Callithrix jacchus: one gene and its partner. The protein of the gene in region 1 binds, or shares a complex with, the protein of each later gene. Links are inferred from orthologs where the notes say so. Each region holds a gene or a part of one and is shown in the gene's direction. Other genes may lie near its edges. The genes, in order: PRKAA2 and PRKAG1.

Region 1 (4,408 bases):
AAAAATATTTAGTATGTATATGTTTTGAAATACATATATTGTGGAATGGCTGTAAGTCAAGCTAATTAACACACATATTATATACTAATCGTTTTGTGTATGTGGTGAGAAGCGAAGAAACTTTAATCACTGAAAGAACAACATTAAAGAACGGACAACAACATTAAAGGAAGGAAGGAAGGGAGGGAAGGAAGGGTAGGAAAGAAGGAAGTGAGGCAGAGATAATCACTTTATTACCAAATTCCTTGCCAGGCTTTTCTTTTTTGGGGGAGGGGGGAGGTCAGTCTCTTAACACACGTGTGCCTAGGCGTCATGCTTCTAATTTCCTCTTATCATTCTTTTCACTTCTATATCACATTTATTCTTCCTTTAATATGTGACCTTGTATTGCCCTCGCCCTTCACAATTCCAATGTCACTCACGTATTTTACTTTCTGGGGGCAGAATATTGTTTACCTTTCCAGGCCTTTCCCATTTCCCTCACATGCAGCTACCACATTTCGGTACTATATGTTTATGTAAGCGTGTGGTAAAACTACATATGTATATAAGCATATGCTAAAATACACTAGAGCAAATACCGTGACTGAGGTTTTTTGGAAAACTGTGGGCAAATTAGTTAAAATTGAGAGCTCTGGAGGAGAGGGTCTCTTTCTTCTACAGGACAAAATAATTGGGAATTGCAGAGTAAGTACAGGAGTGCAATTCAAGAGAGCACAGAGCTGTGTGCATTCTCCCTGCGCCGCGACCTGTATCCAAAAGCCGCAGACGAGACTGGAGGAGCTTCCTGCCCTTTGACCAGGGCCCTTCCCGCCGCCTCCCCTCCCGCCTTTTTTCTTTTCCAGCCCCTCGCTCCCCACACCCAAGGCCCGTCTCTCTTCTTCCAGTTCGACTTCCACGTCTTTCCATTCCCTGGGATCGGGCCCCAGTGTTACCCGCCCACCCCCCCATTTTCACTCCCTTCGGTTTTCCTCAAAAAGGGCTCCCGGCCTCCCTCCCGGCCCCGGCCCACCCCCTCGCAGCACCTGCCGCTTCTTCCCCTCACTCGGACCCCGCGCACCTGGCGCGGCCCCTCCCGCACTCCAGCCCAGCGCCCCACGTAGCCGACCCCCGCTGTCGCAGTCTCCGGCTCCGCCGCAGGCGCACCGCGCTCCCTCTCGGCCCCGCCCCGCCGGCCACTCGCCGGGCGCTTCCCACCTGGGCCTGGCTAGCCCAGCGCCCCCTCCCGGGACCTCGCGCCCGCCCCGCGCCCCTCGCGGCTCTGGGCGCGCGGGCCCGTCCTCCCACCCCCCCCGCAGGGCCCGCTGCACTGTGGGTAGGCGGCGGCGGCGGCGCGGAGCGGCAGGCGGCGGAGTGAGGCCGCGCGCGCCGAAGATGGCTGAGAAGCAGAAGCACGACGGGCGGGTGAAGATCGGACACTACGTGCTGGGCGACACGCTAGGCGTCGGCACCTTCGGCAAAGTGAAGAGTTGAGTACGCGCTCTGGCCCGCCGCGCGGTGTTGCGAGGCTCGCGGGAGGCCGGGTGGAGCGGCGGGAGCCCCGGGCCGCGGGCGGGCGCGGGGCTCGGCGGCAGGTGGAGCGGCCCCAACCGCGCGGAGCTGGGGCCCCGGGAGGGCGGCGCGCACCGCCTCGCCCGGGACGGGCGTCCGGGCCCGGCAGAATCCGGAGAAGAGGGCGGGGGTGTGGGCTGAGGACGGGCGTCCTGGGTTCCAGGTCCCGCGCCCATCTGCCTTTCTGGAGGTCGGAGCGAGGCACTTCTGTCTTCTCTGGACCTCGGTGTCCACTTGTCCTCTCAGAGCTGGGTCCGCGAGGCGCCTCCCAGCTCGGAGACCGTAGGTGGAGGGCCGGGGATCACCCGTGCTGCTGAGGACTGAGGCGCCGCTTCGTACCTGGTGCCCTGTTAAGTGCTTTGTATGGGATGTCATTGTATCTTTATAGTGACTTGGTCAGCATGTTGTCCTCACCCTAATGGTGGGAAAACTAGGACCCCTAGAGGTGTAGTAACATGCCCAAGGTCACACAGAAATGGGCAGTGCCAGGGTGAAGTCTAAGATGTCCTCCAATTCTGGTCTTGCTGGGAGGTCCCTGCCATCCCCAGTTTCCTTCTTGTTCCAGGGCTCTCGGTTGGCGGGGGTGACTGCTTAGGGGATGCTCCAGGGCCAGTGGTTGTGAGTTTTTCCGGGGTGGTGTTAAACGCTGGAATGCAGCTGGATTGAATCACAGGTTAATTAGAAAGAGGTCTGAAGGTAGTTGTGTTTGTAAAATGGCTATGGGGAAGACTTCTGGGATAAGGTTCCTTGGTGTTTGGCGGATTGGAGGCTGAGGAGGTCATTCTGCTAAGGTCTGTCTTCATGAAGATAGGATCTCGTTTTGGGTGTAGAAAAACAGGCTGTCTTTGAAATGTTATACTTTACGAGAGTTAAGTAATTAGTAAAAAGGATAGTTAAGTGTTGAACTTTCATTTGTTTTTTTTTTCCCGTTAATTAGTCACATGGGATTTAGTTAACCTGTCCTCTCTCCAGAATAGAGACAGTATATTAAAAATACTCTGTTGCAAATCCAGAATTATAAGTGAAACATTGGCTTTTTTTTTTTACTCTCTCTTTGCTGAAGAAATGCTGGGTAGGCAGTCTGGAAGTTGTATTCTGAGGTCTCTGTTTCCTTGTAAAATTCATGTTTTAATACCAAGTCAAGGCTGTTGAGTAAGTAGAAGAGACTCATTGTTCATTCCTGTGGTAAAGATCAGCTCCTGTTTTCTTGCTCATATTTAATGCCCATTCATTTGTTCAAGAGCACCTGCAACTTGGTAGGCACTGTTCTAGGCAATGAGGATACAGCAAAGAAAAAAGCAGATCTTTTCGTGGAACTTACATTCTAGTAGGGGAAGACAGTAATCAGAATACATGTAAAAGGTGTGTTTAGTTTTATTGAGAAAAAAGAATCAGGGAAGGGAAGGTAGGGAGTGTTGTGAGGTTGGCAGTTTTCAATAAGGTGGTCAGACAAGGTGGTATTTTTGCAAAGAAGTAAAAAGTTTGCAAAATTATTTGCCATCCTGTGAGTGTTATGAAGTCCTGGGTTATTTTTGAAAGACCTTATAAGTCGAGTGGACACTTAGAAGGTGTTTAGGATGAATACAGGACAATCCAGGGATTGGATTAATGCCTGTAATGTTATTTGTCATTTAGTATCATTACTAAGGACTATTGTGTTACAACATTATGCAGTTGCTCAAGCAAACAATGCCTTTGACATTTGGACAGGTACACTCTCAAAGTTATATCACTTAACCCTATGTCCTTTAAAATTGTGTTAAAACTTTTTGCTGGTCTTTTTAAGTTCTTATTTTGTAATATGAAGGTAGAGTAGAATACCCACCAGATCAGTCAGCCCATTGTCAGACAAATCTCTTGTGTATACTTTTGAGCTGTCTCCAAGCACCAGCTTCTTAAGATATCAATGAACAGAAGGAACTTTATGAGAAATCCTTTTCCTGGAGAACCTCTGTCCAGTGAACAACCAGTTGAAGGAGTTTTCGTAACACTGTGCCAGATCCTCTCAAAAGTGATACTGTGGCTTCCTGTCCAAGATTAGGATCAGTACAATTGTTTAATAAAAATTACAGAAACTGCTACAGTCTACAGTTACTCATTTAATTCTTCAAGGGACAGGTGAAACAAAAAGCCATGTTTTTTTTTTTTTTTTTTTTTTTTAGAAAACAACTTTATTGCCCAGGCACAGTGGCTCATGCCTCTTAATTTCAGCACTTTGGGAGGCCGAGGCAGGTGGATCACTTGAGGTCAGGAGTTTGAGACCAGCACATGGTGAAATCCTCTCTGCTAAAAATACAAAAATTAGCTGGATGCAGTGGCAGGTGCCTGTAATCCCAGCTACTGATGAGGCCAAGGCAGGAGGATCGCTTGAACCTGGTAGGCAGAAGTTGCACTGAGCCAAGATTGTGCCACTGTACTCCAGGCTGGGTGACAGAGCAAGACTCTGTGTCAAAAAAAAAAAAAAAAAACCACCCAGAAAGCAGCTTTATTTAGGTATATTTTACATATGAAATTCATCCATTCTAAGTGTACAATTCAATGATTTTTATGAATTTTACAAAATATTGCAACTATCATTATAGATCAGTTTTAGGACATTTGAGAACACCACAGTAAGATTCCTTATACCCATTACAGTTAATCTCTTTCCTGCTCTCAATCCCTTTTGTGTTTTGTGTTTAGAAAACACGAATCTCTTTTCTACCTGTATAAGTTTGCTTTTTCTAGGTACTTCTTCATAAACGTGATCATTCAATATATCTTTTGTGTCTAGCTTTTTATTTTTATTTATTTGTTTTGAGACAGAGTCTCCCTCTGTCCTTAGAGTGGAGTGCAGTGGCGCGATCTTGGCTCACTG
Region 2 (4,311 bases), on another chromosome or scaffold:
AGGCCCCAAACCCCTCTCTGGTAGGGAACCATGGGGATGAAGATGAAGCTTATATGCAGTTATCTTCTAGGGGCTGTGGGCAAAGGGCATTTTGTAATTAATATTTTCAAGAATCAGATGTCTGGAGTGTAGGGGTGGGCTTGGTGGTGGTGGTGGACGGGCGGGCCTGCTGGAGGGGGAGCTTGGTCGCTGTTGTGATTTTAGGTTTGTTTTTGTTTTGTTTTGAATTTGAGGGGTTGTGGATTGTTGGGGGTAGGGAGATTTTTTTTATTTAAGCTGCTTCCTCAACTGTTTCAAGCTGCAAATGTTTAAGAGAATAACACCCCCCACTCCCACAGGAACCGCTGTAATTAAATCAGACAATAGGGAGACTGGGCTGCTCCCCTCAAAGCCACAGCCCTTGGATGTTCCTTTTCCGAGAGCAGAAGGTCTAGGCTACAGGGATGGGGAGATTGGCTCCTGTGAGTCAGGCTCTGGGGCTTGGGCCCTGGGATTGGGAAAAGGGGATGGGGCAGACTTTGTAAGCATATGCTAGGTATCCGATAGTCCTGTAGAATTTAGTGAAGAAACCTTATACAGTTTTTAATTTTTATATAAACTATAACTCAGACCCAAGCTACAAGGTTGGAATTTTGGTTGTCGGTTTTTTTTAAGTACCCTGCCTGTATAATTGCATCAAAATCCTCCACCCCCCCATGTTTGTATTTTGGGTTGGTTTACACTCGCACATACTCAATTTTCAGTTTTCCCCTTTACAGTCTTCTCCCCTCACCTCCAGGACCCTCCCCCCTTTTTAAAAAATAAATCGCTGACAAGTGTGAATCCCGTGAAAACTTTATTTTGTGTTGTGTGTATCCTGTACAGCAAGGTTGGTCCTTCGTAACAACGGATGAAATGGTTCCCTTTTTTAAAGCGCCCTCTCTCCCTCCACCCTCAGCGCCCCTGTCCTTGGCATGTTTTGTATCAGCGATCATTCTGAACTGTACATAATTTATGTTGCGAGAGGCAAAGGGCAAGTTTTGGATTTTGCTTCTTCCAAGTTTGTTTTTAAACAACAAATAAAAAAAGAACATTTTAAATACAAGCGAGTCCGTCCCATGACCCTTGCCATCAGCGGGATACGTGCGGTCTGCGAGGACCGGGGGAGGGCGGTTACCGAGGCCAGCCACCGCCGGAAGGGTGGGTTCTCCGTCTTCCGCCCTAGTCTGGCGACTGCCGTGACGTGGACGGATGTGGCCTTGCCGCACCGGATGTGGGGCGGGGCCTGCCCCAAGAGAGCTTCCTAAAGCGAGAACCAAGCCGGCGCCTCTTGCAATGGAGACGGTGAGGAGTGCCGGAGGGCGGTCGGGGGCGCTGTGGAGCCTAAGACCCCCTGTTAGGAGACCGGGGGGGCCGGGCAGGGGCTGGCACTGGAGTCTAGCAAACAAGAAGCAACCGGGTGTCTGCCCTATCCCGTGACCCTGTCCCTCCACTTCTTCGTTGAGCGCATCTCCTAGGACTGGGCCGCGCCCCCGCCGCCTTTCCGTACGCGGTACTCTTAGCCCGAGCAGGCGGTGACTCCTGGCTCCCTCCTTGGAGCGAGCCCACGTATGCCGTGGCAATCTCGGGCCTCCTTTCCTCTTAGCACCTCAAGACCTTTCAGAGGTTTGCTTGAGAGGGCAGGGCTGTGATCCAGCTTTTCTGGGTGAGGCAGGGGACGTCCAGAGGGATCTCCGCTTGAAGGTAGCTACTGGACCTCCGTGGTCTGACTGGCAGAAGGACATCTGAAGATCTTTGTAATGCATCCAGTGAAGTCACATTTCCTTAATAAGACCGAGAATTGGAGTTTGCTTGAAAGAGGAAATCTTGCAGTGTTAGAGGCCACTGTGTCCCTTGGATAAGTTTAGGTCATGACCCGCTCAGCGACTCTAAGCGGGAGTTTTGGCATAGCTCATTCTTGGCGAGCTGGCATTGACCAATTGTGGCAGGGCCCTGTCACCCTCCCACAGATGCTGCGGGTTGTCTGCTACATGTTTGCACCCACCCTCACTCTCAGGAGTCTTTTTCTTTTTCTTTCTTTTTTTTTTTTGAGACGGAATTTCACTGTTGTTACCCAGGCTGGAGTGTAATGGCGTGATCTTGGCTCGCAACTTCCACCTCCTGGGTTCAGGCAATTCTCCTGCCTCATCCTCCTAAGTAGCTAGGATTACAGGCACGTGCTACCATGCCTAGCTAATTTTTTGTATTTTTAGTAGAGATGGGGTTTCACCACGTTGACCAGGATGGTCTCGATCTCTTGACCTTGTGATCTGCCCGCCTCGGCCTCCCAAAGTGCTGGGATTAACAGGCGTGAGCCACCGCGCCCGGCAGGTTCACTTTCATAACTAATTCATAAGTGATTCATAAGAATTATTCTGGGACATGCCCAGAGTAATTCTTTGCCACACCCTTTCCCTGCCTATAGAGAGGTTGTTTCTTTCAGGTTTTCAAAGAGAAAACCGACCAAAGTAGTAAAATGATTCGCAGTTGGTCTGCCAGGCAAGGGAGCCACTTATGACTAATTAAGATAATCTTGAACAAAAATAAGGAGTCTAATTTCATTAAATTTAAAATAACATAGTCTACCTACTTATAAATGTATTATGGTTTACAAAACATTTTTACATAGATTTTAGAAAATCTAGCCTTCACATTTTATGTAGTGGATTAGGTTCTGGGATGGAAATTAAAAAGAAGAAAAAGAAAACTTGGCCAGGTGTGGTGGCTCACACCTGTAATCCAAATCACCATGCCTGAGCTCAGGAGTTCTACACCAGTGATGAAATCCTGTCTGGACAAAAACAAAAATACAAAAATTACTCAGGCATGGTGGTGGTGGTGTGTGCCTGTAGCCCCAGCTATTTGGGAGGCTGAGGTGGGAGGATATCTTGATCCAGGAAGATGGAGGCTGCAGTGAGCTGAGATCATGCCACTGCACTCTAGCCTCAGTGACATAGTGAGACCTTGTCTCCAAAACAACAACAACTTTTGAAAATGCTCAGCCTGAGGGCAGCCAGCAATAGCTGTTATTTAAAGGTACACTATAATAAATGCTATCATCAATATGCAGACAAAGGACTGTGACAGCATAGTTGAGAGAAAAATTACTTTGGACCTGGGAGAGAGCACTACAAATTGAGAGAACAGTATGAACAAGGGCACTGAAATTGGGGTATATGGAGAATAAGGAATGAACCAGTGGTTTGATGTTGCTGGATTTGGATTTTGGTCACAGTGGGAGAAAAGACTGGAAAAGAAGGCTAAGATCAGGTTGAAAGTATTACATACCATGCTAAAATTGAACTTTGTTTTGTAATAGGGGACCTATGGAAGATTTATAAGCAAGTTAGTGAATGTCCTTTAGGAATGTTCATAGCAGCTTTCTGTACATGGACTGAGCTATTTCAGAAAGTAAAGTTTCTTGTTACTGGAGATGAAAGTAACCTTCCAAACCTGAGATGCTTTGGTGAGCAAATGTGGTGAAAGCATGAAAGATAAAGTGAAGAACAGATAGTTTTGGGGCAAGGACACCAGTTTAAACAGTGTTGCCGAAGTGAGAGGTAAGAGCCTAAATTAAGGGTGTGAAGTTGGCAATGAGAGATGGATCTGAGGCATTTCTAACATACCAGCTTAGCTGATACATGTTAAGAAGACAGCTGTGCAAAACATAGATGGGAACCACACTGAGAATAATAGGATTAGAGGGACAAATGTTTCATATTGAAGCATTTGAGGAATCTCTGTGATATCTGTGGTTATCAAACAAATAATTGCAAATGTAGATCAGAAGTTTGGAAGAAACTGTTGAGTCTGTTTGTCATATGTAGCATGTGTCTCTCTAATATTTTGTACTTACATAGTACAGTGGTAATTTGTCTGGTCCCCTGTGTTATTAGAAGTAGAAAGGATGGTCAGTGAAAAAAAAAAAAAGGACTAGAAAGGAGACCAGGCACAGTGGCTCATGCCTGTAATCCCAGAACTTTGGGAGGCCAAGGTGGGCGGATTGCTTGAGCCCAGGAGTTCAAGACCAACCTGGTCAACATAGTGAGACCCCATCTCTACAAAAAAAATACAAAAAGTAGCTTGGCTTGGTGGTGTGTGTCTATAGTCCCAGCAGCCTGGGAGGCAGAAGTCAGAGGATTGCCTGAGCTGGGGAAGTTAAGGCTGCAGTGATCTGTGATTGTGCCACTGCACTCCAGTCTGGGTGACAGAGTGATTCCCTGTCTCAAAAAGAAAAAAAAAGAAAAAGTGGACATAATTAGATAATTCCCCCTCTGATATGGTGAAACAGGC

The links.
Region 2: the proteins of PRKAA2 (region 1) and PRKAG1 are in contact, whole or in part, in a crystal structure (PDB 6B1U), measured with the Homo sapiens proteins. The link is inferred for Callithrix jacchus from reciprocal best matches to the Homo sapiens genes PRKAA2 and PRKAG1. Residues at the interface, in NP_006243.2 of Homo sapiens: Asp329, Asn330, Ile333, Met334, Ala337, Phe340, Tyr341, Leu342, His366, Pro367, Glu368, Arg369, Met370, Pro371, Pro372, Leu373, Ile374, Asn444, Val446, Thr447, Pro530, Arg531, Leu532, Gly533, Ser534, His535, Thr536, Met537, Asp538, Glu541; in NP_002724.1 of Homo sapiens: His36, Asp40, Leu41, Ile42, Pro43, Thr44, Ser45, Val50, Phe62, Leu64, Val65, Thr66, Gly68, Val69, Arg70, Trp75, Ser77, Lys78, Lys79, Gln80, Phe82, Pro158, Glu159, Ser160, Gly161, Asn162, Lys170, Arg171, Lys174, Phe175.

What each region holds. Positions count from the first base shown.
Region 1 is NC_133508.1:93,724,238-93,728,645, forward strand, and holds the start of PRKAA2 (5'-AMP-activated protein kinase catalytic subunit alpha-2), read left to right. Parts: upstream 1-1,313; 5' UTR 1,314-1,374; coding exon 1,375-1,468; intron 1,469-4,408. UniProt on the Homo sapiens protein: Catalytic subunit of AMP-activated protein kinase (AMPK), an energy sensor protein kinase that plays a key role in regulating cellular energy metabolism.
Region 2 is NC_133510.1:70,538,916-70,543,226, forward strand, and holds the start of PRKAG1 (5'-AMP-activated protein kinase subunit gamma-1), read left to right. Parts: upstream 1-1,248; 5' UTR 1,249-1,314; coding exon 1,315-1,323; intron 1,324-1,374; exon of another isoform or gene 1,375-1,802; intron 1,803-4,311. UniProt on the Homo sapiens protein: AMP/ATP-binding subunit of AMP-activated protein kinase (AMPK), an energy sensor protein kinase that plays a key role in regulating cellular energy metabolism.